Rhinolophus ferrumequinum: one gene and its partners. The main gene of each other region encodes a partner of the protein of the gene in region 2 in a complex. Links are inferred from orthologs where the notes say so. Each region holds a gene or a part of one and is shown on either strand. Other genes may lie near its edges. The genes, in order: STK24, STRN4, STK25 and STK26.

Region 1 (7,133 bases), on a different chromosome or scaffold from region 2:
GTAAAAGTAGTAATACAGCATGGTGAGTATGGTCTTGAAGGCAAGAAAGACCTGGTTTCAAGTCACAAATTTGCCCCATCTCACCTTGGTCAGTTCAATTAGTCTTTAGTTGATTCCCAAATCTAGAAAATCGCATATAATAACTATGCCTCAAATGGTAACAAGTAAGAAACAAGAGGCATAGAAATGATTTGCAAGACACTGAAAACTTATGTTTACACTAAAATGTTCTCTCATTCAGGCTTATTTTGTAGGCATCTTTGCCTAGGCTGCCTGAATTCACTGTACTGTCTTCCTAAAACTTTTAACCCAGCTCCTTATAAGCCCTGGTCAGGAGATAAGAGAGAAAAAAGAGAGGGATGTGAGATGTATCAGGACAGAGCACAGAAGGGTTAGTAGTTCTCCTGTTTTATCCTAGAGAACAGGCCAAGGCGGGTGTGCCTTTAATTTAATCCCCAACAACACTGAGGAAAAGCCTCCCTGGGCAGTAGCAGCTGCTAATTCAAAGTAGGAAATAAACGTGCTTGTTGTTTTTCTTGGGGGGTGCGGGGGGGGGGGGGGGGGTGTTCATTCCCAAATAGCAAACTAAAAACAATTATCATACAGTTTATACATGTACTTAAATATAGGGATGACTGTCAAAAGCCACCTTCAACTCCTCTACAACTCTAACAAGATGAAAATTTGGTTTTTTCAACTAAATAAAAATTTATCAGCTTTCATACTGAGAAAGCAAAATAAAAACAGTTCCTTTGTAACACTACCTAGTAAATGCACTGTATTTGGGCGGCAAAGTTATTAAATGAAATTCACCTTCTTTTCCCAAGATTTAAGAATTTTGGCCCACACTCTTGAAGAAAGAAAAAAGTGAGGACAAAAAAAGGTACCTGGTAACCATCTGATACTGACTTCAGGGCACCAGCTAGTGAGGCTTTTAAGTACCTTTTTAAACTGATGCTCTCTCCACAAAGGCGGAATACCTCCGTGGTAAACTCTCAGGGAGGCATTTGTGCTAGACTGCAACCTGATTAAAACAGCATAAAAGTCCGTCTAAAGGAAAGATTGAGCAGACGTATTTTTTTTTTATTTTTTTTTATTTTTTTGGTCACTACAAGAAGGCCTTCTTGCTCTACTGGTCAGAAATCATTTTTCAGCCAGTTCACCCTGCCTTCCTGCATCTCAGTTCAAACCAAACCAAAGCAGGAACTTTAGGAAATACCAAGAAACCACATCTGATTTTTACCTAGTGGTCAGCAAAAGCTTAGCTTTTAAATGCACGTTGAGTTTAAAAACTCTTTGGATGAGATTCAAGGACAGTTTTCTTCAAGCTCTCTCGGTATTAACTTTAACTGCTACTCCTTAAAAAAAAAAAAAACTGAGGCTAGAATTCTGGTAACTTTATGTTCCTATATTTCAGTACTGCAAACCTAAACAATGAAATCGTTTTCTTTTTATGGTTTTAATGAGAGAAAACGATGTGCGTCGAAAGAGAGGAACAGATTCCCGGCTTCTAAAAGGCCAGGTCCTCCAGCCCCGTTCCTCTCAGCCCTCAAGAGCGAGGCAAGAAGAGAAAACAAGCCCGTGGCTGTCTGTAGGATAACTAATCCACTTAGATACTGGGGTTGTGTTTTCATGATCACTCGTTTAGCTAAGTTGGGAGAGCAGAACGTTAATGACATACCCTAACTGCATCGTGAGGTTTTTAATCCTAATGATTTTGACACCTCTTATGCGCTTACACGCATTACAAATTAGCCAAGCAGGGTGGTTTTATTTTTCAAAGGGCTAAAAACGGTGCCCGATACAGAAAAACTTGAACGCCTTCATGTAATTTGAAATTCAACTTCTCCCCACCCCAAAAAAGTCAATGGTAGGCCAACATGCCACAAAGTATCAACGGAAAGGTTTACTGGGAAGAACTCATCTGGATTCAATCAATTCTCAAAGTAAAAGCCTAGTGTCCCAGGACCGGGCGGGTCAGCCTCGGCTCGGGACACTCGAGTGCACGCTGTCCCAGGGAGTCCTTCTGCACGGTTTACAGGCTCGCACTTTCCCCTGTGTCTGCACCAGAAGGAAACGCGCGCTGGAAGTGGAGCTGGCAATTGCACCTCCCTCCACCCTATCCCGGCTCCTCCACCCGGGCAGGGCCCAGGACTAGTCCTGACGCGCCCGGGGCTCCCCTCCCGCCTCTCAACTTTACCGCCCGCTCGCAGGGAGGGGACAGGGGCCTCCAGCACCCGCCGCGCGCAGGCAGGGCCCAGAGACCGCGCCGGGGCCTCCAAGGGCATTTCCCCACATCACTTCTCCCCCGGGGCTGGGGCCGGCGCTGGGCCTGCAGCTCCGGAGGCGCTGGGGAGACAGGGGAGCGGGGAAGAAGACGGCCGGCACCCCCACATCCCTCCCTGACCACCGCGACTCCCAGACGGAGAGGGCCGCCTCCAGGCCGCGGCCCCCAGGTCCCCGCGCCGCCCCCCGTCCCCGAAACGCTGACCGCCGAGCCGGGCAGGGGCGCCCCGGGCACTGAGAGCCGGACGCGGGAGGCCGGCGCGACCCCGGAAGGGGCAGCGTGGGGGGGGCCATGTTTACACCGCCAAGTTCTCTGCTTCCGCCCCGGCCCGCGCATCCCTCCCGCCCCTCGGCGGCCCGGCTGCTGCTTACCTGCATGCCGGGCAGGCCCGACTGCACCGGGGAGTGAGCCATGGCGGTCAGGACGGCTAATTCCTGGGACGGGACGGCCGGGCCGCGGCGATTCGCGCGGGCGACGAGGCCCGCGGGCCAAGCGCAGCCCTCGGGCGACGAGGGCGGCCGGCCAAGCCCGAGTCGGAGCCCGAGGCCACCCCAGCCCCCGCAGGTCCCGGGCCGGATGGTGGCTCAGCAGCCGGCGGCGGGCGGCGTCTCCATGCACAGCGCCGGGAAGGGGCTGCGAGGGGCGCAGGGCCTCGCCGCGAATAGCTGCTGCTGCTGCTGCTGCTGCTGCTGCTGCTGCTGCTGAGGCTGAGGCTGAGGCTGAGGCTGAGGCTGCCGATGCCGATGCCGCCGCCGCCGTCGCCGCCGCTAGGCTAGAGCCGGAGGCCTGGAGTCGGAGTGGGCGCGCACAGCCAGCCCAGCCCGCGAGCGCCGAGCGCGCCCCGCCCCGGCCCGGCCCCCGCGCCCGCCCCCGCGGCCCGGCCGGGGACCCCGCCCCGCGCTTCCGGGAGGGGGAGGAGGCTCGCGGTCGCCAGCTGCCCTAGGCCGCAGCCGCCGCCTGCCGGGGCGGGCGGGGATCCGAGTGTTGTTGCGCGCTGCCCTTTGCCCCCAGTTGGCGGCTATGAGCGGGGAGGGGGCCTCAGCCTGAGCGGCCTCCCGGCGTGGGAAAGAGGGAACCGGGTGGGACCCAGGAATTGGCTGTGTGCCCACCCCCACCCCCACGCCTGGGCCTGGTGGGAGTCCTAAGGGGGTCTGGACGGCGAGGGAGCGGTGAGCACCAGCTCTGACTCTACCATCTTCCTCCTGCCCTCCAAGCGAGCCCACCCTTTTCCTTCTGCCCCCAGGAAACGGGCTCCAGGCTACCTCCCCGAGGGCATAGTCTGGGGCTGGGAGACTTCGGGAGGGAGAATGCCCAGCGGGGCCTCAGCCGGTGGTCAGCTCAGAACTACCAGGGCGGAGTTTCTTCGGTGTCTCCGTGAAGTTTCCAGCCAACCCGAGGAGGAAACCGAGGGGAGAGGCCGAGAGCTGTTCATTCTGAGTGCTTTTGCTGCTTGAAAACAGCCCCGCTTGCAATACTAGGCGCTGTAAACTTAGCTAAGAAGCGAGGGGGCTCAATCCCACCATCTCCGGGCTCAGGTTCCAGGCTGCAGCGTCCACCATGAGAAGGGAAATGCAGGGGAGGGAGGGAGGGGCAAGGAGGAAGGGAAGACAATAGAAGGAAACCGTGTCTAGACTTACCCCAGCCCTCTCCCTCTCTGCTGCCTCCAAAAGCCCCAGGTCCGCTCTGGGCACCACTTCTGTCTCCACCTTTTAGTCTCCAACTACAGAGGAAAGAAAGAAGGAACGAGTCTGCTGCCTCCAGAAAGTATTTTATTTACAATGACAGTGGTAGCCACTGAAGTGATCTGCTGTACCTCAGGTTGTTGGGATCCTGGCACCTCATTCATGCCCCTGAATGAAAGCCATGTTGCACCATCACTGTGTGAGGTTGGACATACAAAAATGAGCCCCCAAGAGTTCACACACTACTGGAGGAAATTCTAAAAGTTCTCCACCGAGGTAAGGAGTGTTTATTCTCTGAGGTGTCATTGTATTGAGAGACTTTCAGTTCTCTCTGTGCTCTGGATTAGACAAGGAGGGGGGTGCTAAAATGTACTCCCTGCTTTCCCTTTGGGAATACACGATACACGTGTTTTTCCTTGGGATTCTCCAGGATACCTTCAGATAGCTTTACCGTTGTCACTGGTACACTAACTGCACTGAGTTGTAAAGCCCTACCGCCCCCAAGTATTGGGAAGAGAAGGTGGCAAATGCAAAGTGAAAAAAAAGCATGGGGGTGGCCGGTTAGCTCAGTTGGTTAGAGGTTGGTGCTAATAACACCAAGGTTGCCAGTTCTATCCCCACATGGGCCACTGTGAGCTGTGCCCTCCTTAAAAAAAAAAAAAGGAAAAGCATGAATCCTGATACCTAGGATTCACCATCTTTTGTAAATTTTGTGTACCTAAAAAAAATGGGTACATAAAGAGATGAACAGTAAAACAAGCAAGAGCATAAATCTTAAAAATGTTCATAATCTTCAACCCAGGAATTCTATTAATATTTAGAAACAACCAAGACATGCATAAGAATGGATATAAAAAGATGCAGTTCAGTGATATTTATAATCATGGGAAAACTGGGAACACATTAAAAGTCTAATAGATATTAAGTAAATGATAGTATATTCATACAGTGAGTACCACGTAGTCAGTAAAAAATGATGTATTTCAACATTTAGTAAAATGGAAAATATTTTCATTTTGTATTGTTAGAAACAAAATGCAGAGTACAAAACTATTATAGTCTGATCTCAAGCTACTTCATGTATATGAAGTTATATTTAACATATATATCATTTACATGTATGTATAATTTTATGTATATATTTGTAAACAGAAAAACCTGAAAGTATATACACCAAGATTTAGCAGTAGCTTTTTCTGGAATTAAAGATGATTGTTTCAGTCAGTGGTCAACCATTAGAGACCATCATGCTAAGAGGTCTCTCCTTAGGATCAGCAATCAGAGCAATAACGTGATAGCAAGATAAGAAGGAAGAAATAGGACGAGTGGACAGAAATGTTTGGGCACTAAGCTGAGGCATTACCGTAGGAAACACAAAAAACACAGGGGCCTGTTTTGTAGTGGGCCAGTTTGCAACAAATAAGCCATAGTGGGGCATTGGACCACAATACCCTGCGTATCAAAAGTATTCCAAATCCTTTTTCACCTCCAGAGACTAGTAAGGCTAAGAACAGGTATGTTACAGTAGGATACATAATTCATCTGGACACAATTACTTGCATTCTTTAACTGGTCTATTTCCCTGTACCCGGCTTATCTCCTCACCACAAGTGAACTTCATTTCCTCCTTTGACCATATTTATACAATTGAGCATCATTGTCCTTGAAAGAGAAGCAAAATAGGAGTTACTGTTCCGCACAGTCATAGGCAGATATTTCCCAGTATTCCGCAGACAGTGGCCTTCTCCCTTTGTTTTAACAGAACACAGATGATGGACAGGGCCTGAGCCCATGATGCGATCCTGCCCAATTGCTCATTGAATCCATTCATACATTAGCACATTTTTTGAATGCCAAACACATGTCAGCATCTGGTTCAGTGCTGGGCGTATAAATACTAGGTTCTCAGATGCCTCTCATCCTATCCTCGGGACGTGGTCTCCCAGAATCTTAACTTCAGAATTTTACAGTACCACAATTGATTAAATTTAGAGTCACAATGTGTATAGTTCCACTAAGGAAAGAAGAGGATTATCCTTTCATCCTCTCCCTTTTGTCACTTCCCTCCATCCTCAATTTATAATTCCAACAGATCATATACTACTGTAATTTCAGGAGAGATTTTGAGGGTCTCTATAAAGATCATGCATTTTCTGGTCTCCATGGAGATACTTACTAACCCAAGGAATTATTTTCATCCCTTGGCCCTCTCTGTCTTTTGTGTTGACCTAAGGACATGAATTGAGCGTGAATTGTGCTCTGACACATATTCGGGACCACAAAGGACATTTCCATTCCCCTATATAAAGCCCCTCCAAATATAGAACCCTTGTGTATTGACTTCCCCTAAGCCAGCTCATAGCCTCAGCAGAGCTCAGAATGCAGCCAGAAACAAGAATTCAACAATCAGTCCCTTCACTTCTTCTGAGTTGAAAAGATAAACACCCCCAAATGCCACTTTATAAAGAACAGCTAGACAAGTAGCACATTAGCAATTTAAATTTACAGATTAAAGAAAGGGACTTACATGGTGAACTTTAAAGAGAGAAATATGAGTAGCTTGGATAAGTAACTAACAGAAGGCTTGACAAATTTCTACACATGTTTAGCAGGTGAAGACACAAAAGAGGAAGACAGATTTATTAAGATCCGTATAAAGCAGCATGACTAGACATAGTTGGATGACATGATATCAAGAAAATGTATGCTAAAGCCCTAGGAAAAGATCCAGCTACATTGGGGAACAGTGAAAGGTAGTTGCATTCTGTGACTGAGGCTCAGAGGGCAAGCTCACAGCACCATCATTCTAAGTCAGTTTTTGGTTGCACCCTACATTTGTTTGCTCAGGCTGCCATTACAAAGTACCATGGGTGGGGTGGCCTAAATAACAGAAATGTATTTCCTCATAGTTCCGGAGGCTAGAAGTCCAAGATCAAGGTGGCAGTAGAGTAAGTTTCTTCTGAAGCCTCTTTCCTTGGCTTGGAGGTGACCATTTTCTTCCTGTGTCCTCCCACAATCTTCCCTGTGTGTGTGTATCCTGATCTTGTCTTATAAGGACACTCATCGCATTTGGCTAGGGTACACCCAAGTGACTTCATTTTAACTTAATGACCTCTTTAAAGACCCTATCTCCAAATACAGTCACATTCTCAGATACTGGGGGT
Region 2 (7,263 bases):
AGCCATTTCTGATGGAGAAAAATTAGAAACAAGCTAAAAGTCCATCAACAGGGGTCAAATTACAATACAAACATCCAGTGGAACGTAGTTATCAAAAATAATGAGAAAGCTCTGTGCTGATATGAAAGGAACACCAATGCACAGAAGTATGTGAAAAAAGTCATAAAATAATACGTATAATATGATCCGTGTTTTGTACACATAGAGCTGAATTACTTTCACAGCAATAAATAGTTGGGAAGGAGAGTGAGAGAGCGACAAAGGGGTGACTTTCACTTTTCACTTATACATCTACGTATACACACACACACACACACTTCTAAGATCTTTGAATTTTTACTCCTGCAACAGAACAAAAGAAAACAAAAGTACAAAGTGAGTGATGCTGGAGCCAAGACGAGGACAGCCTAATGGGTGCTACCCACAAGCTCCTCTCACACTCCAAGAAGGGCCACTGAGTGAGGGAACACACACCTTCCCTCTCATTAGCCTTAAAGATGAGAAGGTGGTGTGCTGGGTGCTGTAGGGCGCATTGGCGTGACGTCCCAGAGACCAAGATTCAATCCCAGCTCTACTATGACTGCTTGGATGACTCCGGGGAGGCCAAACAGTTTCTACAGAACAGTTTTCTCATCTGTACAGGGCGGCAGAGAGGAATTGAGCATGGGCTTGAAAGCCCACAGACCAGCCCTGCCACCCATGAGCTGTGATCCTAGATAAATCACTGACCCTCTCAGGGCCTCCATTTCCTCTTCTTTTTTCTTTTTTAGGGGAACAGGACTTTACTGGGGAACAGTGTGTACTTCCAGGTCTTTTTTCCAAGTCAAGTTGTTGTCCTTTCAGTCTTAGTTGTGGAGGGCGCAGCTCAGCTCCAGGTCCAGTTGCTGTTGCTAGTTGCAGGGGGCGCAGCCCACCATCCCTTGCGGGAGTCGAACCGGCAGCCTTCGGAATTAGGAGCATGGATCTCTAACCACCTGAGCCACCGGGCCGGCCCCCATTTCCTCTTCTTATTAAAATTAAAAGAGTGGTGATGAATTATATCACTTACCCTCCCAGAATATTGCAAGGATTAAACGATACCATGTATGTAAAGTGCTTAACACAGTGCCTGACACATAACATGGGATCAATAACAGCAGCTGCTACAATTACTGCTGAGTGAAGGCAATGACACTGGCCTGCCTACATAATAGGGGTATTGAGAAGATCTAACGAGATGTATGCTGCCTGGACACAGCCCCGCAAGGGGCACTTACATAAGGATTCCTCTCCCATCCCAACGCCACACAGCTAAGATCTCTAGTGAAGTGGGAGAATTGTGGGATGCTCTCTTTATTCATCCTATGGACAAAATTCTAATAAGTTATTTACTTGGGTCCAGACCTCAACTAGATAGTAAACAAGTCAGAAGGGGAAAGATGGGCTGCTAGAAGCAGATACTGACTTCTGCTAATAATATGCAGAGTCTAGGCACTTTCAGACACCTCTCCGCCCATGGCTGGACTCCCAATCTTCACAACTGATGCCCAGGCTACTTGGGACACTTTGCAAATGGACCCAGACTTCTCAAGGTCACCAAACCCAGCTCAGCTCCTCAGACTCTTCTAAACATCATCCCAGGGTGCACCCCTCTCCCAAGCTACCCCACAAACCATGGGGTCCTTTCCCAGAAACTTCCACAAACGCGTCGCCGCTCAGGGTCCTTCTGAGACGCTTTCTTCCTGCTCTACAAAATCCACTCCCTGCCACATCCCAGGTCCCCTGGGATTCCTCCTTACAGTCCCCATCCCAGGTCCCCTACTCTCCACGTTGGACATGCGTGACTCCCGCACCCACATTCCAGTTCAGGGTTTTCCACCTGCCATCCTACACACACCGCCCATCTCAGGACCATCCCCCACTCCTCCACACCCCCAAACTGGAGTTTCCACTCTGAAGCTCTTCCACACAGATTCCTAAGGTACGTCCTTGGGACCCCTTCCCTGCACTCGGTAGCCACACAAGCCAGGGCTCCTCCAGTTTCCTCCTCAGCAGGGAGGGCACACACCATCATCCTGGGACCCCTCGAGACCCTCCTGTTACCCCTTCAGTCCTCACGAAACCATCTTTCAGTTCCCTCTATCCAAATGCTCCGAAATACCCTGTGTCCCAGGATCCGTGACTTCCTCTCCGTACTCAGGCCTGATTCCGGCCGAACTGCTCTCGCCCTTGACGGGTCCCAAATCCTCCCGACGCCCCGTCTTCCACACTGAGCCCACTGGACTCCCCCTCCAACCGCTCCTGGTCGGGACTGTGGTGGGCATCCCTCGGCACCCGAGAGCGTTTGCTCACCCCCACACAAGCCCCTCCAACAAATCCTCTCAGCACCCTTGGCTGAGTTCTCCTGGGTCCCCGCCAGGCCCCGAGGCTACTCTCAGGAACCCGCCAGCCGGTCCGCTCACTCCCACTCCCACTTCCAGCTGGTTCGGGGCCCTTCCGCCCCTTCTCTCGACCGGCCGCGCTCGGGCATTCCCGCCCCCGGGCCCCACTCCCGCCTCGAGGCGCCCCGGTGCCCCCAGGACCCTCCACGGACTACCCCTCACTCCCGCTCTGAGCCACTCGCGGTCCCCTCCTGCCCCCCCGGCCGTCCCGGCGGCCATTGCTCCAAGATGGCGGCGGCGGCGGCGGCGGGTGAGGCCGGGCCGGGCCGGGCGGGGGGTCGGGGGTCCCGGGCGGCGCTCACCTGCAACTCGGCGCGCTCCGCCTCCCAGCGGGCCTTCTCCGCTTCGAAGCGCGCCCACTCGTGCTGGATAAAGTGCAGGATCCCGGGCAGGCTCAGGGGCTCCGGCCCCGCCGTGGGCCCGGGACTGCTCCCGCCGCCGCCTCCCTTAGCAGCCGGGCCGGGCCCGGGGACGGGGGCAGAGACCGGGGCCGCCCCCGTCGGACCGGGGCCCGCGCCCGAGCCGAGGGGGCGGCAGGAGGAGGCGGCGGCGGCGACGGCTGCGGCCGCTCGCTCCTCCATCATGGAGGCCCCGGGCCGGCCCGCGCGCCCGCTGTGCCTCGCGCGCCTGCGCGGCCGCCCAATCCCCGCGCGCGCGCTCGGCAGGGGCTGAGTGGGGGGGCGGGGACGGGAGCGAGGCCGGGCGCGCGCCTCGCCCACCCGGGTCGACCCCGAAGGCGCGCGCGGGGGGGTGGCTGGAAGGGGCGGGGCGGGGGCGCGCTCCCCGAGAACCGGCAAACTGGACCCCGGTCCTGCGCGAGGGTTGTCCTTGGGGAGAGCGGGACTTTGAGAGGGCGCTGCTTTCTGCCCCCCTCCTCCCGCTTCGCTCCAAAGAAAGATTCTAACCCTCTCCAGACCCAAATACCACTCTCCTCGAGCATCACTGTAACTCTTTGAGAGAAAGGACGACCACCAGGGGTGGTTTCAGCCATGGCTCAATCCTGATTCCTGGCCATGGTCGGTTGTCATGGTAACCCTTCCCTAGCCTGGAACACCCCCAGCCTTCCCTCCCCTCCACCTTTGTGGTTATGGAGCCTCAAACCTCTCCTGTCCTTGCAACAGGAGGAGGTTGCTAAGGTAACCTAAGTCCCTGGTGATCCTTCTGCCCCTACCCTCATTGCTTACTATGGCAACCTCACCTAACACTCAGGTAGAAAGGATACTAGCCCCAGGGACACTGATTATTAAGGGAAATACCTCTTTCCCAACCCCTTCTCCCAGCCACCCAGTTGGCATTACCGTGGTAACCATCTCCCCTCCTTTCTTATGGTGGGAAGTCCCTGGACCAAACCAACCAGGTATTTAGAAAAGGAGATGCTCTGCTGAGGAGTAGTTGCTATGGTTACAAGGCCTGACCATCCCCAGGGATGTGAGAAACCAGCAAGGCCAAGTCCCGGTTACTGTGGTAACAGGGGCAGTCCCCCCACCCCTCCAGTGACCCTAGTAACCAGACCCACCAAGGTAGGGAATGGTTTTAGGATTTTCTCTCAGGATGGAGTGTGTAAAGGGAAAGGGTTGTCATGGTAACAGCTTGTCACTTTTAGCCCTATGTTTCTGGACACATTCATCAGAGAGGGATGGTTATAGGTTGCTATGATAACTGACATCCTTTCCACCCATTCCTAAAATGCTCGTGTCTGAGCTTAAGGGACTTCAAGAGAAATGATTCCTTGACCTTCTCACTGCCACTTTTGTAGGTAAGATGAAATTGTACTCTATTGTGCAAAATTGGTTGATTTGGGGTTTTCTGTTTCTCCTTCCCTCAGCAGTGCAGCTGAGCTGGGCTGGAACCGCCTCCCTGGAACTCCCCCAGCCTGCAACGTAGGAGGTAAGAAGTCCTTCAGTGTCACCAGCACTCATGTGGACACTGCCCTTCCTTCATCCCCAAAGTCTTTCCACATATCTACCCATCACATTCCCGTGCAACAGTTGAGACTCAGGCTAGATCAGAGCTCAGGCCAGGTGAACCCAGGCCTGAAGTGAGTCTGGATCCACTTACATTGTTTTGTCAGGGATAGAGAGACAAAGTCTTGGCTTAATTGTCTTCTCCTTCCCTGACTACCTTTTCTTTTCTTTAATTTATTTTGAGTGTGTTTTTCCAGGACCCATCAGCTCCAAGTCAAGTAATTGTTTCAATCTAGTTGTGGAGGGCACAGCTCACACTGGCCCATGTGGGGATCGAACCGGCAACCCTGGTGTTACGAGCATCACGCTCTAACCAACTGAGCTAACCGGCTGCCCCTCCTGACTACCTTTTCTAAAGGAAGTACTGTTTTTTTTCTGCCACCCCTCCCCCCAAGCTGGTTTCTTGCCCCATCTATAAGTTGTTTGTGTAGTTTTTACTTGTCTTCCCACCTCTGGAGGTCCTACTCAGTGACTGCCTAATTCATCCCCGGAACACAGGGTATGGCACAGAGAGCACTCAATGAATAGCTTTGTTGAGTTAGTGAATTGAATTAATTAATGTGTCATATTCAGCTTTGAAAGTACTTGTCAGGTTAAGGCTGGAGAAGTCTCAGAAGGTTGACAGAGTGGGCTGAGTAGACCCAAGAAAGACAGCGGAGTTGATTGGATTAAAGCACAACTCTGGGTCCAACTTCTTGGGTCAAATCCTGAGTCCACCACTTTCCAGCTGTGTGACCTTAATTAAGCAAGTGACTTCACCTTTCTGTGCCTCAATTTCTTCATCTTTAAATGTGATCATAACTTGAAGATTAAACAAGTTAACGTGTGTAAAGTACTCAGAACAGGTCTGGCACATCGTGAGCAGCTAGATTTGTTAATAGTATTCTATTATGAAAAATATTCATAAAAGCATATAGATTATTTGGACCTTCAAAATCATTTCCTCTACCTTACCTCAATGAAGGGGTTTTGAGCCCTTATAGTCAGAAAAGTCAAGACTAACCTTGTGAGGGTACTAGATGATTCCTTTCTCCTTCCTCTTTGGTCCCCTCACCCAGTAGGTGGCGCTTCCCCATGAAGCCATGATAAATACCCTCTGGTCTCTGAGGACCCCCCTTTCTGTCCTCTGTCCTTCTGGGTACCTCCCAGCCCAGAGTCACCCAGACAGCATGACAAGAACCGGAGCCTGGACAGTGGAGACCTGGGTTCTGCTCCCTGCATCCTTTCTGTCTCTAAGCCACAGGTTCCCCATCTGAATAATTGGAGTCACTCATTTATTGAGCACCTGCTATGTGCCGGGCATTGAGCTGTGCTCTGGGCATACAGCAGGGAACAAAACAATAAACAAGATAAATAAACATCTACATGATAGGGCCGGCCCAGTGGCTCAGGCAGTTGGAGCTCCGTGCTCTTAACTCCGAAGGCTGCCTATTCAATTCCCACATGGGCCAGTGGGCTCTCAACCACAAGGTTGCCGGTTCAACTCCTCTGCTCCCTCAAGGGATGGTAGGCAGCACCCCCTGCAACTAAGATTAAACTCGGCACCTTGAGCCGAGCTGCCTCCCGGATGGCTCGGTTAGTTGGAGCGCATCCTCTCAACCATCAGGTTGCCGGTTCGACTCCTGCAAGGGATGGTGGGCTGTGCCCCCTGCAACTAGCAACGGCAACTGGACCTGGAGCTGAGCTGTGCCCTCCACAACTAAGACTGAAACGACAACAACTTGAAGCTGAATGGCACCCTCCACAACTAAGATTGAAAGGACAACAACTTGACTTGGAAAAAAGCCCTAGAAGTACACGCTGTTCCCCAATAAAAGTCCTGTTCCCCTCCCCCAATAAAATCTTTAAAAAAAAAAAATCTACATGATAACTACTAGGAGAGATAAATAACCAGGGATGGGGCAGAGGAAGTATGTGGGTGATAGGGAGATGTATTTTTAAATAGTGTGGCCAAAGGAAGGGCTCACTGGACAGGTGACATTTGAACAAAGACCTGAAGGCCGTGGGACAGGAGTCATGCAGATACCTTCTGGAGAGAGCATCCAGGCAGAGGGAGTAGCCAGTGTAGTGGTTAGAGTGTGTCAGGTGTACTTGAAGAATAGTGTTTGGTGGCCGGTGTGGCCAGAGCTGAGTGAGAGTGGGAGAGGGTGGGAGACCATTGGGGCCCTTATGGGTTATAGTGAAGACTTTGGCTTTCCCTTTGAGTGACTTTTGAGTCATGGAGCGTTTGAGCAGACACAGGACAGGAGCTAATTTGAGTTCTGGGTGCTAAATGGGAAACAAAACTGTAGGGGACAAGGGTGGAGCAGGAGAATGGTCTCTTTAGAATCTTTCGAAGATTCTAAAACCATCTAAGGGTCTCTCCTGTGCTTCTGTGTATCTAAGCTCTAAGATTCTAAGATTTTTAATACTCCAAAGACTCAGTGGATTCAGAAGTTCCTTCTGCCCACAATAATGTGAGTTCCATGAGGTTCGGGGTGTTGCTTGTCCTTCTATTGTGTGTCCACCGCTCTGTCCCCAGTGCCTAAAACAGAGCCTGGCGTGTTGTAGTTCAAGTAGCTACTGAAGGACTGAAGGAAGGAGGGATCCATCTAAGGTCCAGAAGGCAATTCCAAGGTTCTAAAGAGTAAGAAGTCACTCTTAAAAGTGCAACTCAGATTCTTAAGTGACATCCAACTTGGGTCAGAGAAGGGCCAGCAGAACTGGGACAGGTGACGGGGAGGTGGGAGTACATTCCTGGCAGGAGAGTGGAGGAGACAGGACGACCAGCACAGGGCCCCAGGCACTTGGCCACAGTGTAGAGTTTGACTCCAGGGACCTGAGTGAGCTTTATAGACATAAAAACCCTGACCTTGGCCATCATTTTTTGTTTTTGCCAA
Region 3 (7,195 bases), on a different chromosome or scaffold from region 2:
TGCCCCAAGCCGGTGGTGAGGTGTCCCCTTGCACCGCGGCTCAGCCTGTTAAGGGATGTGGCCAGCCCCACTGGAACCGGCAGCCCAGTACACGTGGAAGAGAAACAACCGCGAAGCTTGCAGCCAGCCTACTGCCAGGAAGACCCCAAAACCAAGGTCAAGGGAAAGCAGGCTTCAAATCACAGCTGCTCAGGTCTTCAGGTGTGACCTACCATACCGCTGACCACTGAGCGAGCAGCACAAAAAGGCTTTCCTGCCAGAGAGAAAACCTGCTCCACTGGCTTCCACGTGGGGACCTCGCCGGCCCCGCCCGGCCTTGGCCAGAGCCGATCTGGCCCCCCACAGCCGCCAAAGGAACCCCAGCCGGCCCGCTCAGACCTCCACTGCCTTGAGCAGAACACAGTGCACCCCCTAAGCCAGAGTCCAGGCTCCACAGAAGACAGGGCCCCGAGCCTCAGGTCTCAGCACCGCTGCGGATCAGTCAAGTGAGTAGACAGGGTGTGACAGGAACACTTCTGGCTAACACTGACCCTACAGGCGTATCACCGGCTGAAGGAACGACACGCAGCTCTCAGGTCTGGGGGCCCGGGAGCCCTTCTAGACCAGGCACGTGGTCTGGACAACACTCAAGTGGCTCAACTGGCTCTGGTGGTCAAGGCCCTTGTTCTCAAGTCAGCCCTGGCACTGCCAGATTTGGGGCTACCACCTGGCAGAATGTCTGCCATTAGTTTCACCCCACAAAACAAGAGCCAAGCTGTCCCCAACCAGCACACGACAGGTGACAGCTGGTAAGCACATGGTGCTTTCACACCCCCAGCCATTCGGCCCGTAGGCGGGGGTGACATCAGAGCAGGAGCACAGGCTGTGGGGGAGCTCGCCCGCTGCTCCACACAGGGACCACCCACGAGGCCACAGTGACAGCCGTCTGGAGAGAAAATGCAGTCCTATCAGGCCTCCTGCTGCGACAAAGGCTGAGTCTGTCCGCCCCTGAAAGGACAAGGGAGCGTCCTTCCTTTGGGGTCCCTTTCCCAGCTCCTCAGCACCCACGCCCCCTCCCCGGGTCTGAGTGGGCACCCAGGCCAAGCATCAAGCACCATCAGCACAGCGGTACAGGCGGCTCCCTGCTCCAATTCCTCTCTGGGACCCATGGAGGCCACTCCTACAGCTCTTAGAAAACAAGCTCCAGGCGGACTTTTCTCCCAGCACCTTGGCGTGTACCAGACACAAAATGTCAAGCATACACGCAAAGTCTGTTAGCATCATTCAGTGTCCGTCAGCAAACCCCGGTCCCATCTGTGGCCACTGCTGGTCCAGGACGCCCTGCCCAACAGCCCTGCCCAACAGCTGCGTGTGGCTTCCGGGCGCCTCCTCCCTGCGCACCATACGACCCAGCTTCCTGCTCCTCCTGCGGGCTGAGCTCCCGACTGTGTGCACGGGAGCCAGCGGTGGGACTCCTCTCTGTAAGAGGCCACCCCTCGCCTTACAGCAGTTGGCCTAAATCGCGTCAAGGGAACAACTAACAACGAGGACACAGGAAAACCTGGCCACCAGGCAGCCACATCAGCTCCAATCACACTTCCTTTAACAAAAAAGAGGGGAGGTCCAGACCACAAGCCTCCCAACTGCCCCCTACACACACCCTCCTTTCCAGGTGCCAGCAAACTCGGGGCACACTGCAGAGGGTCCCCCAGAGTCAGCCAGTGGAGTCAGACACCTCAAGGTGTCTGAATACCGGGGATTCTAGGGAGCAACCGACCGAAGGAGGGCGGTACCACCAGGTAAGTACTGCACCTCCCTCCATGGACACACTCACGCGCGTCCCCCACTCCTACAGGAGAGCGGCCCGCTCACCCTCCCAGCCCCCCTAACCGCCCACCAGCGAGGGGTCCCCCGGAGGCCCCGCCCCGGCCCGCGTGCGCCCGACCTGCGCGATCCCAGCAGACGGACGTGCGGACAGACCCGGGGTCCCGCCCCAGCCACGCCGCCGTCCCGACCGGGCCTCTGCACAGCCTCCACGGCCTCCCACTGCGCTGCTCTGACATGCCTGCGCGCTTCTGCACCCCACAACGCTGCAGCAGCCCCCCCGTCGGCCCTGAGCCCCAGCACGCCGGGCGCCTCGGGACCGCGCCCCCTCTTGCCCACAGGTGTGCGGCACGGGTTCCCACCCACACCCCTCCCGCGCCTGCAGGCACCGCTCTGCTCCCGGCGGCCCGGCGAGCGGACACACTGCCCGCTGTCACCCCGAAACAACCCTCACCTGGCTGGCGAACCCCCTGAGGTGAGCCATGTCCGCGCCGCGCTCAGAACATCCGCCGCCACCGCGGAGGCCCCTGGATTCCGCCTCGAGGCCCTGGCACCCGGCTCGCTCGCTTCAGCCAACTGGAGGGACAGCAGGCCGCTCGCTCAGCCGGTTCAGGGGGCGCGAGGCGGCCCCTCGTCCGACCATCGGGAACAGGCTCCGAAGGGGGCGGCGGGCTGGCGTCAGGAAGGCCCCGGAAACCCCCACGGCAGCCCTTCCCCGCCCGCCCGCCCGCCCGCCCGGGGCCCGCGACCCCCGAAGGGACCGCCGCCCTGAGCGCCCCCCGAAGCCCCGCCCACCTGGCCCCCGCCCGGCACCGGCGCTCAGACCCGCTGCCCCGCGCCAGCCAACGCTCCCGGTGCCCACCCCGCGCCGGGGCCCTCTCTGCCCTCAGCCCCGCACCTTCCCCTCACCCCGCTCGCCACCTCTCGGCACCCCCACCGCTCGGCCCCCTCCCCAACCGCCCCAGGCGCGGGCTCGCCCAGCAGCGCGCCCACCTCCGGGGTACTCCATCCCGGCCTCCCCCGGCCCGCTCCGCAGTGCCCGCGCAGGCTCCCACCCGCAGCCTCCGCTCGCCCGGGGGGACACCCGGACCCTCCAGCCCGCGAAGCAGCAGCAGCGGCGGCGGCGGCGACGGCCGGAGAAAGGCCGGCGGCGGCGACGGAGAGGGCGGTGCGCGGCGTCGTGGCCCAGCGCAGGGCTCTCAGGGACACCGAGTCCGGCCGCTCGTCCAGTGCCTGGGCGTCCGCCCGCGTTGGACTACAAGTCCCGGCAGGCCAGGGGCGGGGCGGAGTCGCGGCCCGCAGGCGCGCCGCGGGGCTCGCTGGGACTCCGAGTCCCGCTTCCTGAGAGGCTCTGGACTACGTCTCCCGGCAGGCCGCGGGGCGGGACCGGGTCCGGGAGGCGGGGCCACGCCGGCGCCCCGCTTTGGGGTTGGGGCCCGCTGGGCTCTATCTTGTCTCCTTTTTGCCTTCCTCTTCCTCCGCCCCATCTTCCCCGGCTCCACTCTCCATCCTCCCCGCCCTCCCAGTGCGCTATCCACTCCGCTTCCTCCTATTCGTCTCCCTCCGCCCCCCCCCTCCCCTAGAAAACTCTCCCCTCCACCTTGGAGGGCGTCCGCCCTTCTGCTGCTGCTTATCTGGCAGCACCCACAGGGTCCTGAGGGGAGGAAAGGACCAACACATGTGGTGCATACACACAGTGCAATATTATTCAGACTGAAAAAGGACTTTCTGACACCTGATGCCACATGCATAGGCCTGAGGGCATGTGAGCAGTGAAATAAGCCAGACACAGAAGTACAAACACTGTGTGATCCCCCTTGTGTGAAGTCCTGTCATGCGGGGCGGCCTGCGGGGTCTCAGCTCCCGCTCCCCACATAAGAACGCAGGACATGGTGAGGCCAAAAAGGAACACCCACGGAGCCATAGAGAGGGGAGTCATACCACTATATTCTCGCTGGCGGCTGGGTTGGAGACAGGAAGCAGGAGCCACACTATCTACAACCTGCCGTCCACTTCTCTGCAATCTGCAACCCGCACTCTGCCGTGCTAACTGCAGTCCGCGCTTGCCAGCCACCATCTTCTTGCTAGCCCCCATTTTCTGCTAGCGTAGCCACGGCGGTTATATTAGTGGCCAATGGGTCACTGGTTACAGCTGGCGGCCAACTAGCCACAGCTGATGGCCAGCCAATCACAGTTGATGGCCATTTACTACCTGAGCCAGCACCTTTCCATGTGAGGCCGAGAGCCTGGAAACTGCTTTCTGGGGCTCTGTCCCCACAAGTCCCTAGAGGAGTCAGATTCAGAGACGGAAGTCGATGGTGGTGCCAAGGCTGGGGAGCGGAGGGGAGTGAGTGTTTAGTAGGGACGCAGTGTCAGTTTGGGAAGACAAAGAGTTCTGGAGACAGAGGTAATGGTTGCAGAACAATGTAAACTGAGCTTAACAACGGAACTGTGCACTTAAGCATGCTTCACACACTCACTTTTATATGATGTGTGTTTTCCCACAATTATAAATAAAATGAAATAAAAAAGGAATTAAGTTCTGACACATGCTAAAACAGAAGAACCTAGAAAACAGCTAAGGGAAATAAGCATAAGAACTCTCCTGTAGCTGAGTTTCTCCTGTCACGAGACAAATGTTGTATGATTCTATTTATATGAGGTATCAAGAATAGGCCAATTCAAGAGACAAAGTAGAACAGAGATTTCCAGGGGCTGGGAGAGAGGGGAATGGGGATATATTACTTAGTGGGTACAGAATTTGTTTGGGGTGATTAAAAAAAAAAAGTCCTGGAAATAAATAGTGGTGACGTTTACACCACTTGTGAATTTTCTTAATGCCACTGAATTGTACACTTAAAAATGGTAAATTTTATATTGTGTGTATTTTACCACAAATAAAAGCAAAGATAAATTGAGCTTCATCAAAATTTTTACATTTTGCTTCCAGAAAGACACTATTAAGAAAATGATAGGGGTGGCTGGTTAGTTCAGTTGATTAGAGCGCGGTGCTAATCACACCAAGGTTGCGGGTTTGGTCCCTGCTGGGCCACTGTGAGCTGCGCCCTCCTTAAAAAAAAAAAAAAAAAAGAAAAGATGCTACAGACAGGGAGAGAGGAAAAATATATATATATTTATATATGTATTATATATATATGTATTATATATATATATCACATAATATATATATTGAGAGAGAGAAAGAGAATATATAAAGAGCTCTCAAAACTCATCAGTTAGAAAAGAACCCAATGGGGGTGGGTGAAAAAGAGGAAGGGATTAAGAAGTACAAATTGGTAGTTACAAAATAGTCCTGGGGATGTAAAGTACAGCATAGGGAATATAGTGAATCATATGGTAATAACTATGTATAGTGCCAGGTGGGTACTAGACTAGTCAGGGGGATCACGTCGTAAATTATATAAATGTCTAACCACTATGCTGTACACCTGAAACTAATATAAAATAATACTGAATGTCAACTCCGAAAAATTTAAAAAGGGGGGAAACATAAAGAAGAGTAAGATGTTCAAATTTCCAGATATAAAACAAATAAGTCATGGGGATATAATATACAGCATAGGAAATATAGTCAGTAATATTGTACAGTATATTACAGTATATACATAGTATAGTACAGTAAAATTGCGTGGTACAGTGTCAGATGGTTGCTGGACTGATGGTGATCACTTATTTAGCATATAATCAATAATATGGTAATCACTATGTATGTGCCAGGTGGGTACTGTTGAATAACTATGATGTACACCTGAAACTAAAACAATATTGTATGTCAGTTATATTTTAATAAAAACATTTGTTTAAAAAGAACCCAATAAGAAAACTTGAGAATAGACTTGGCACACCAAAGAGGATAGATGGGTGGCCGTCAGCAATGAACAGATGCTCAATGTCGTTAACTATCCGGGAAATGCAAATCGAACCATGACGAGACTCTAACTGCACACATATTAGAGTGGCTAAACTAAAAATACTGACACTAGCAAGTGTTGGCGAGGTTAGGGTGACCAACCATCCTAGTTTGTCCAGGAGTTTCCCACTTTGAACACCAAAAGTCCCATGTCCCAGGAAGCCCCTCTTCCCATCCTGGGCAAAGCAGATGGTTGGTCACTCAGGGTGAGGAGGCAGAGCCCAGAACTTTCATACGGTGTAACTGTGCAGCCGTTCTAAACAACAGCTTGGCGATTACTTAAAAAGTCAACTATATACCTAACACGTGAGCCAGCATGCCCACTCCTGGGTATTTACACCAAGTAAAGAAAACATATCTTCGTACAAAAGCCTATGCATAAATGTCTACAGCATGTCTAGTCAGCCGGACCCCAAGCTAGAAACAGCCCAGAGGTACCTTCCGCAGTGAGTGGATGAGCCGCGATCCATCCAGACATGGAATCGACTACTGAGAGACGTGTGACAGAAGGAGCCAGTCTCAAAGGATCACATAGCATGTGATTCCGTATAGGAGGCATTGTGGAAGAAACAACAGCCACAAGGGAGAAGTTGCCAGTAGTTCCCAGGGGTGGGGGGAGCAGCCTGCTCCCACAGAGGAGAGCAGTAGGGGGTTTCTGGGGGTGAGGGAACTGCTCTGTACCCTGACTGTGGAAGGGATGACACAAATCTATACCTGCATTAAAACTCAGAGAACTGTACACTAAAAAAGACAATTTCACTGTATGGTTTTCTAAAAGAAAAAAAAATTGTTTTCAAAGATTTTTTTGGTAAGGCGAACAGGACTTTATTGGGGAAGAGTGTGTATTTCCAGGACTGTTCATTGGGGAACAGTAGTGTGTTTTTCCCAGGACTCATCAGCTCCATCCAAGTCAAGTTGTTGTCCTTTCAATCTTAGTTGTGGAGGGTGCAGCTCAGCTCTAGGTCTAGTCGCCATTGTTAGTTGCAGGGGGCACAGCCCACCATTCATTGGATGGGAATCGAACCGGCAACCTTGTGGTTGAGAGCCCGCGCTCCAACCAACTGAGCCATCCGGGAGCTCAGCGGCAGCTCATTGACTTCATTCTAGTTGCTGAGGGCGCAGCTCACTGGCCCGTGTGGGAATCGAACCAGCAGCCCTGTTGCCCAGAGGTCGCGCTCTGACCAACTGAGCCACCTGTCCACCCGAAAACTTTTTTTTTTCCTAAAGATTTTATTGGGGAAGGGGAACAGGACTTTATTGGGGAACAGTGTGTACTTCCAGGCCATTTTTCCAAGTCAAGTTGTTGTCCTTTCAGTCTTAGTTGTGGAGGGCGCAGCTCAGCTCCAGGTCCAGTTGCCGTTTTCTAGTTGCAGGGGGCGCAGCCCACCATCCCTTGCGGGAGTTGAACCGGCAACCTTGTGGTTGAGAGCCCACTGGCCCATGTGGGAATCGAACCGGCAG
Region 4 (6,969 bases), on a different chromosome or scaffold from region 2:
ATGCCTGGTACATTAGAACATGCTCCATGATTAAACTTTTTTTTGTAAACAAACCATTAAATTTTCTTAAACTTATTTTCTCTTCAATATTATTTTTCATTAAGTAGTATTCACTCTTTGGGGCAGATGATCTATGACTTAGTACAAAAGCAATATAAAAATACTCTTTCATTTCCAGTAACCCTTCGATGTGGCCCAATATCTTGTGGGGATTTTTGGGGGGAGGTGGGGAAGCCACTACATTGAACTGAAATCTTCAGGGAACAGTGATTCCCAAGTCGGTTTCTTGGTTAGTAATCCCTAATGCAAAGAGTGTAGAGCATGGTTTTTCAAACCTTGGCACCATTGACAATTTGGGCTGGGTAATCCTTTGTTGTGACAGCTGTCCTGTGCATGGGAGGATGCTTAGCACCCGTGGCCTCTACCCACTACCAGTAACGCCCTTTCCTCCCCATTTGTGACAACCAATAATGTCTCCAGAAGGCAAAATTACCCCTGGTTGAGAACCACGGCCCTAATGCATTACTGTCTACATTGAGGTTTGTCTGGCCATTTCTGTCTACCTACATTTTAGCTGTGAATCAGTCCATTCAATAAATATTTACAAACATGGGTAAAATTAAATGTTTAATATTGACGGTATGACAAATGTTGGAAATTGAAATCACAGATTATAAATTTAAATTAAGTTTTGTTGGGTTCAAGGACACTGTCTAATTTGGAGTTCACTGACTTCAATTAATCTGTATACAATCTTATTTTATTTATATGGTTATTAAGTGTTCATAGCACTCAGGTCACACCAATTAAGCAGGTACAAAATCTGATTTGAGGCACTATGTTACATTCCATGGGGTTACCAAAGAGCATAATATGTGGTGTCTCTCCTCATGGAACTTTTTCCATCAAGCTATGGGAATACATTGTAATATAGTATTAGACTCTGGGATGATATTTTGAAGTAAAATATTCAAGTGTCCTTTTCTGGGGAGAGTGAAAAAAGCACACTTGAATTTCTTATTTTATTTATATTAAGATATATATATATATATATGCATATATATATATATATATATATATATGAAAAAGCATAAGCAAACCACAAGGAACTCCACGTAAAAACTCAAGTGATCTCTATAAATAATAATAACAGATAGTTTATTTAATAGAAGTAGTCCTAAATAAAGGTCAAAAAGTTTACTAAGATCTCAATAGCAGTGTTTCTAAGGAAACGTCTCAATTGTTCAGGTCTCAAAAGTTAGCATTTAGACTACTACATTCTTACATAACTCTGGCCCAGAATGATGTCAGGGAAAGTCACTTCTCAGATATGCTTAATTTACTTATCTATTAAAATTACACAACTTGCTCTTATGTAGTTGTGAAATTAAAGTAACTGGAAAGAATTTTGGAGACCAAAAAAAAAAAAAAAAAGAATGGTGTCACATATACTAAAGTGAATGATTTAAAGGTTCAGCAAGAGCAGTACGTAGGAGTTTAACCAGGCATCAATAAAACACACAGTATACCAATAATGCACCCACCTATCACTATACTAATCTCAGTGAAGAATTCAAAGGAAATACATCTATTCATTTATTCATTTAACAAATCTCTATTGAGGGCTTACTATGTGCCACACACTCTCCTAGCCTCTGAGGATACAGCAATGAACAAAACAGACAAGAATTTTGCCCACTGACAGTTGCCATCCTACCTGAATAATTCTTATGTAAGAGAAGGTGGATCTCTGGCCTCTAGGACCTAACAATCTTGTTGGGCAGACTAAACAAATGAAATAAGAACAAAACCACAATGTGACTGTGGCTTCCATCGACATGCAAAAGAAGTTTGAAAGGGGGATTAGAGCAAGGAGGATGGCTCAATGGGGGTGAGATTTGAGATGAGCCTCTGAAAGGGGGATTAGAGCAAGGAGGATGGCTCAATGGGGGTGAGATTTGAGATGAGCCTCAAATGATGGAGCTTGATTCAAACCCTTGGTATTCAAAGTGTGTTCTAAGAATCAGCAGTAGTGCCATCACCTGTGAAATTGTTCGCAATGCAGAATCTTGTGCTCACTCTAGAGTTGCTAAATCAAAATTGGCACTTTCAAAAGAATCCCAGGGAATTTCTATGGACATTAAAGTTTAGGTGGCTCTGCAGGTTTTTGGTCAGGCTGGCATTGTTGAGTGTGAGCTGGGTGAGTGGGAGCTAGAGATTGGATTGGGGCCTCTCATCATGTTAGAAGTAATAAGGGCCTGGAATTGGGAAACCAGGAGTAAGGGAAATGCAATTATATCCTCCATCATCTGAATAGATAAGAAAATGTGGTGTAGATACATGATCTGGAATATTATTCAGCCATAAAAACGATGGGAATCCTGCCATTTGCAACAACATGGATGGACCTTGAGGGCATTATACTAAGTGAGATAAGTCAGATTGAGAAAGACAAATACTGTATGATCTCACTTATATGTGGAATCTAAAAAATACCAAACTTATGGAAACAGAGAGTAGATTGGTAGTTGCAAGGGGCAGGGGATGGGGGAAATTGGTGAAGGTGATCAAAGGGCACAAACTTCCAGTTATAAATGAATATGTTCTGGGGACCTAATGTACAACATGGTAACTATAGATAACAATGTTGTTTTGTGTACTTGAAAGTTGCTAACAGAGTAGATCTTAAAAGTTAGAGATACTTGGGTTTGAATTTCCAGCTCTACTTCTTAATTGTGCGATATTTTGTGTCAAATTATTTAAGCTCAACTTTTTCTTCATCTGTAAAATGGGGAGAAAGCAATATGACCTCCCTTGTAAAGATTCAATTAGGTAACACATTGTCCCTGGCACAAAGAAAATGGCATCCATGAATAATAATGATATTGACAATAGTATGCTATCTTTAAAAGGTTCAAAAGGAACAACAACAAAAATATATTAATTGAGTGTCTATTGAGTGGCCCCAATACTGTGTTGTGTACAGACCTATAACAACCTGCAAGGTAGGGAACTTCATCCTCATTTTGAATTGGCACTCAGATATTACATTTTTAAAATGTAATTGACCCCTTGTGGGTTCCCAGAGGTCCCTTCATAATGAGATTCTTGAAATTGCTATTACCATTGTTAATGTTATTAGGGTACTCTCAAAAGACCTTGTCTCCCTCCTGGAGTGGAACATGAAATGGGGTGGAGGCAAGGATTTGCTGGAACCACTGCTGTGTATGCTGAGTTCAATAATATGCACTGCTACCGTACTGATGTTCATCCTCATTAATTTTTCTGCGGACGTACCATCTGTTCTCCAACTTCCCTCTCTATTAAACGTGCAGAACTTGTGATAAACAGAAGCCCCAGTCTGGCCACCCCCCACCAAAGGATAGCCCAAGAGGTAGGTGTAGCCTCAGATTCAGGTCACCTGAAGCATGTCTGGGGGCGAGAGATCCCGAAAGCATCAGAGTGGCTACGGATCTGCCCGGTGGCACGGCCTCAGGCTGGGGAGACCCCCACCGCAGTAATGGGCAGGAGTCCACCGACTCGGTGGCTCTCTGTGCCCCTCTGTGCCCCACCCTCGATCAGATTGGGAAGCCAAGAAGGACTTCCAACACTCTCCAAGTTTTAACTCAAGAAGTCTACGAGGCTGCGTGTGCCCCAGCCTCGTACGCCTGCCTGCAACGTGGCCGCGTCTAGGACGCCCTCATAACCCCAGGTCACCCAAACTTTTCCATTATCTCTCCAGGCCGAGCCGTGTTCCAGGTCCCCCAGGCCCCGGGTTCTCCTCTCCGCGTGCGGGGAGAGTCTTCCCTTCTCAGGCTCCAGCAACCCCAGGCAAACCTCTTCACTCGGAACCTTAGCTCTCCTGACACCGCCCGACTGTGGGGCGGGGGCAGGGCCAACGGAGGAACCGCCCCCAACCGCCTCCCCCGCCAGGCGAGCGGGCGGGTTGCTGAGGCGCCTCCACCTCCTCTTCCTAAAGCGGCTAGGCGCAGACGAGCGGCATCACTCGAGCCCAGGTCTCAGCCACCGCCACATACAGCGCCCCGCATTCAGGAGGAGGAGCAGCAGAGGAGGTGGCGGCAACAGCGGCCGACGGGCGCCAGAAAGGTAGACTGAGTCCCAGGGAGTAGCCCCGCGAACTGCCGACTTCGCAGTCCCGGGCTACGCGCCACTAGCCCAGTAACCCCACTTCTGTGTGTCCTTCCAGGCCCGGGTCGAAAAGCCTGGGAGGGCCGCCGAAATACCCCCGGAGAAGGAGCCAGTCCCAGCCCAAGGCGCCACCGCCGCAGAAGCAGTGCGGAGCAGCCGTCGCCTTCATGGCCCACTCACCGGTGGCGGTCCAAGTGCCCGGGATGCAGGTGAGGAAGCCCAGGCCTGCCCCGCCGCCCATGTGACTACCCCAGAGCCCCGTACGCACTCCTCACTGGGCACCGAGAGGCGGCCTCAGGGCTCCCCCGAAGGCAGGGCCGGGCGCTCTGGCCAGGTGACCTGGGAATTGGGCTCTAAGTGTTTCCTGGCGTTGAGGCTATGCACTACGTTGGGAAGGAGGGGAGGGATTGGGGCGCGCAACGAGGTGAGGATGGGGTGGGGGCGTTATAAAAATAGGCCAGAGCGAGACACCTGCGCCTGCTGAGCGTGGTACCCTTGAGGATTGGAGGCGGGAAGACTTGGGAGAGATGGAGGTGTCTCGGAATTTATCGGGTAAAATGCAATTTGTGCCCCCTGCCAAACACAAGTTGGAGCGGAGCAAGACAAGGGGATGTCGGTGGCGGCGGCATTAAATCGGTCTCTTCCTGTGTGCATAGAGCGAAGTGACTTCTTTTCCCCTTTTGGTGCTGCTTCTTAAGGGCGAAGTTATATCTCCCTACCCCACCTGGCCCAACCCATAGGGCAGCATGAGAAATGTTGGGTCCCATATCAGAATCGCCTAGGAGATGACTCTCCAGCCCCTTCCCCAGCCTTTCCCACAAAATGACTGTTGCATGTTGTTAAGGGAAGCTTTTTGTCCTGGACTGGGGACTGCTGCATGGGACCCAACTTCTTGCTGAAGATCTACCCAGTCCCCCTCCCCGTTATATTTTCATTTTATTAAAGAAGAAATAAGCTATTTTCATACTTTATATGCTGTTATGGTTTTAAATTGGTGCATTTAAAGCTATCTACTAAATGTTACCCAAGTCTACTAACTTTTAAGCATTCACATTTTTTTTTCCTTTGCAAGATAGCCTAAGCAACCCATTTATGAATAACTCAGAGACTAGACACACTAAAGCCTCACTTCCTTATTATGTTCTAAAAATGTGAAAGCAAACTTTTCTCAAGTTCAGACAAAAATGTTTAGTAAATAGCTTATGTTTTAGTATCAATCAAAGAGCTGTGGATGGGGGCCTCAATTTCCTAATTGATGCATGGAATTCATTTTTTTTAAAAAGCAATTGGTCACATTTTATGCATGATCACAAAAGAGTGATTTTTAAGATACTTCCCCCAAAAAGGACCATCTGTGTCTGACACATACCTAACCAAAGACTCTTGTGTATCCTAAGCACCAGGCCTTTTAACTGAATATCGTCTGTGTCGAGTCCCAGGAAGTTGGTGTGTATTTAATAAAAATAAATAAATAAATAAATAAATAAATAAATAAATAAATAAACAAACAAACAAACAGGGAGAAAAAGGGTAATGAGAAATATTAAGGCTTTTAAAAAGGTTAATCCACTCAAGCTTTACAAAATGCCTCAAACTTTCTTCTCAGGCCACCCCCTTCCCTCCCTCTTTCCCCCATCCAGCCTGGCCCACACCCCATTCATTTGGTTCTGTCTTTGATTGTATCATGGGAATTAGAAGCTTGCAATACTAACTATGGTTTTGCTCTGTCTGATGTGGAGGAAAGTGCGAAAAATTTCCCACTGAACCCTCCTTCCCATTATGTGGAGATGTACAGATGTAACATTTGTCTTTGAGGGTTTCCAGGCTTTTCTCTCCATTGTGTACGTTAGCAGAGTGAGTGCCTGCCCTTCAAGTTTGTGATTCTGAAAAACTGTGAGCTAAAGAGAAAATAGTTTCTGGTCTTTATTTCATTTGTCTTGACTTTATTTGATTTATATAGTTTCTAGTCCTTATTTGATTTATATGGTTTAGGAAATGCTTGCTGTTAAGTGTTTCTTATTGCTCCCAGCTTTGTTGAATTATCTGAGTTCCTATCTCTTGAATTTTTAAATGTTAATTAAGGTGGTTTAGAATGTGAATCACGTATTTTAAATGACAAACTCTGCCTTTCACTTTATGCCTACCCAAAGTTGTGATTATTTTGTCCAACCTTAATTTGGAAGAGGCAGTCATCTCAATATTAGCGAAGAGACTTTTTTCATCTTAATGAAAATGGTAAATTCTTAACTTCTCATTTCCATTTTCTTTATAGATGTGGTTCTTAAGCATTTGGTGCAACACAAAACGTTTTCCACAGTTAAAATTGTACAGTACCCTAAAAATAAATTTGATGGCATACAGTGTGACTCTTGAGCCTAGATTTCTTTTACTATTTTGTTCAAAAATATTGCATTTGAGATGCAGAAATACATCATGACCTTGTGAAATTTTCCTAAAATTTTGTTAAAGAGTTAAGAGCACCTTTTTTTAGACCTTTAGAGTAGTAAGAAAACTTGAGTTAGCCATGTGTTCTTGAAATTAATGTATAGTATTTCTACAAATCATGGTGAAGTGATTGACTGGCCTGTAACTTTTTAACAGTTTATTTTAGAGAATTATCAAGATTGATGGAAAAATGATTTTTCCAGAAATAAAAACAAAATTATCCACAGTGTTTTCCTCCCTTCCCCTCCCCCCCAGGAAAGACATGAAGTAAAAGCTGAGCTACCTGTTCTATCACTTAAGACTTCCAGCATTCCTGACTTTCAAACAAAGAAATTTCTGTTGCCACTAGTTTAAAATAGAAAAGAAACTTGGAGT

What was found.
Region 1: STRN4 (region 2) and STK24 share a complex: the UniProt entries of both Homo sapiens proteins name them as parts of the core of STRIPAK complex. The link is inferred for Rhinolophus ferrumequinum from reciprocal best matches to the Homo sapiens genes STRN4 and STK24.
Region 3: STRN4 (region 2) and STK25 share a complex: the UniProt entries of both Homo sapiens proteins name them as parts of the core of STRIPAK complex. The link is inferred for Rhinolophus ferrumequinum from reciprocal best matches to the Homo sapiens genes STRN4 and STK25.
Region 4: STRN4 (region 2) and STK26 share a complex: the UniProt entries of both Homo sapiens proteins name them as parts of the core of STRIPAK complex. The link is inferred for Rhinolophus ferrumequinum from reciprocal best matches to the Homo sapiens genes STRN4 and STK26.

Annotation. Positions count from the first base shown.
Region 1 is NC_046287.1:44,276,759-44,283,891, forward strand, and holds the start of STK24 (serine/threonine-protein kinase 24), read right to left. Parts: upstream 3,017-7,133; 5' UTR 2,701-3,016; coding exon 2,659-2,700; intron 1-2,658. UniProt on the Homo sapiens protein: Serine/threonine-protein kinase that acts on both serine and threonine residues and promotes apoptosis in response to stress stimuli and caspase activation.
Region 2 is NC_046298.1:42,863,714-42,870,976, forward strand, and holds the start of STRN4 (striatin-4), read right to left. Parts: upstream 3,023-7,263; 5' UTR 3,005-3,022; coding exon 2,723-3,004; intron 2,671-2,722; exon of another isoform or gene 2,598-2,670; intron 1,961-2,597; exon of another isoform or gene 1,942-1,960; intron 1-1,941. UniProt on the Homo sapiens protein: Calmodulin-binding scaffolding protein which is the center of the striatin-interacting phosphatase and kinase (STRIPAK) complexes.
Region 3 is NC_046291.1:253,076-260,270, reverse strand, and holds the start of STK25 (serine/threonine-protein kinase 25), read right to left. Parts: upstream 3,023-7,195; 5' UTR 2,859-3,022; exon of another isoform or gene 2,797-2,858; intron 2,380-2,796; 5' UTR 2,288-2,379; coding exon 2,258-2,287; intron 1-2,257. UniProt on the Homo sapiens protein: Oxidant stress-activated serine/threonine kinase that may play a role in the response to environmental stress.
Region 4 is NC_046284.1:23,859,656-23,866,624, reverse strand, and holds the start of STK26 (serine/threonine-protein kinase 26), read left to right. Parts: upstream 1-3,952; 5' UTR 3,953-4,107; intron 4,108-4,207; 5' UTR 4,208-4,316; coding exon 4,317-4,358; intron 4,359-6,969. UniProt on the Homo sapiens protein: Serine/threonine-protein kinase that acts as a mediator of cell growth. Modulates apoptosis. In association with STK24 negatively regulates Golgi reorientation in polarized cell migration upon RHO activation.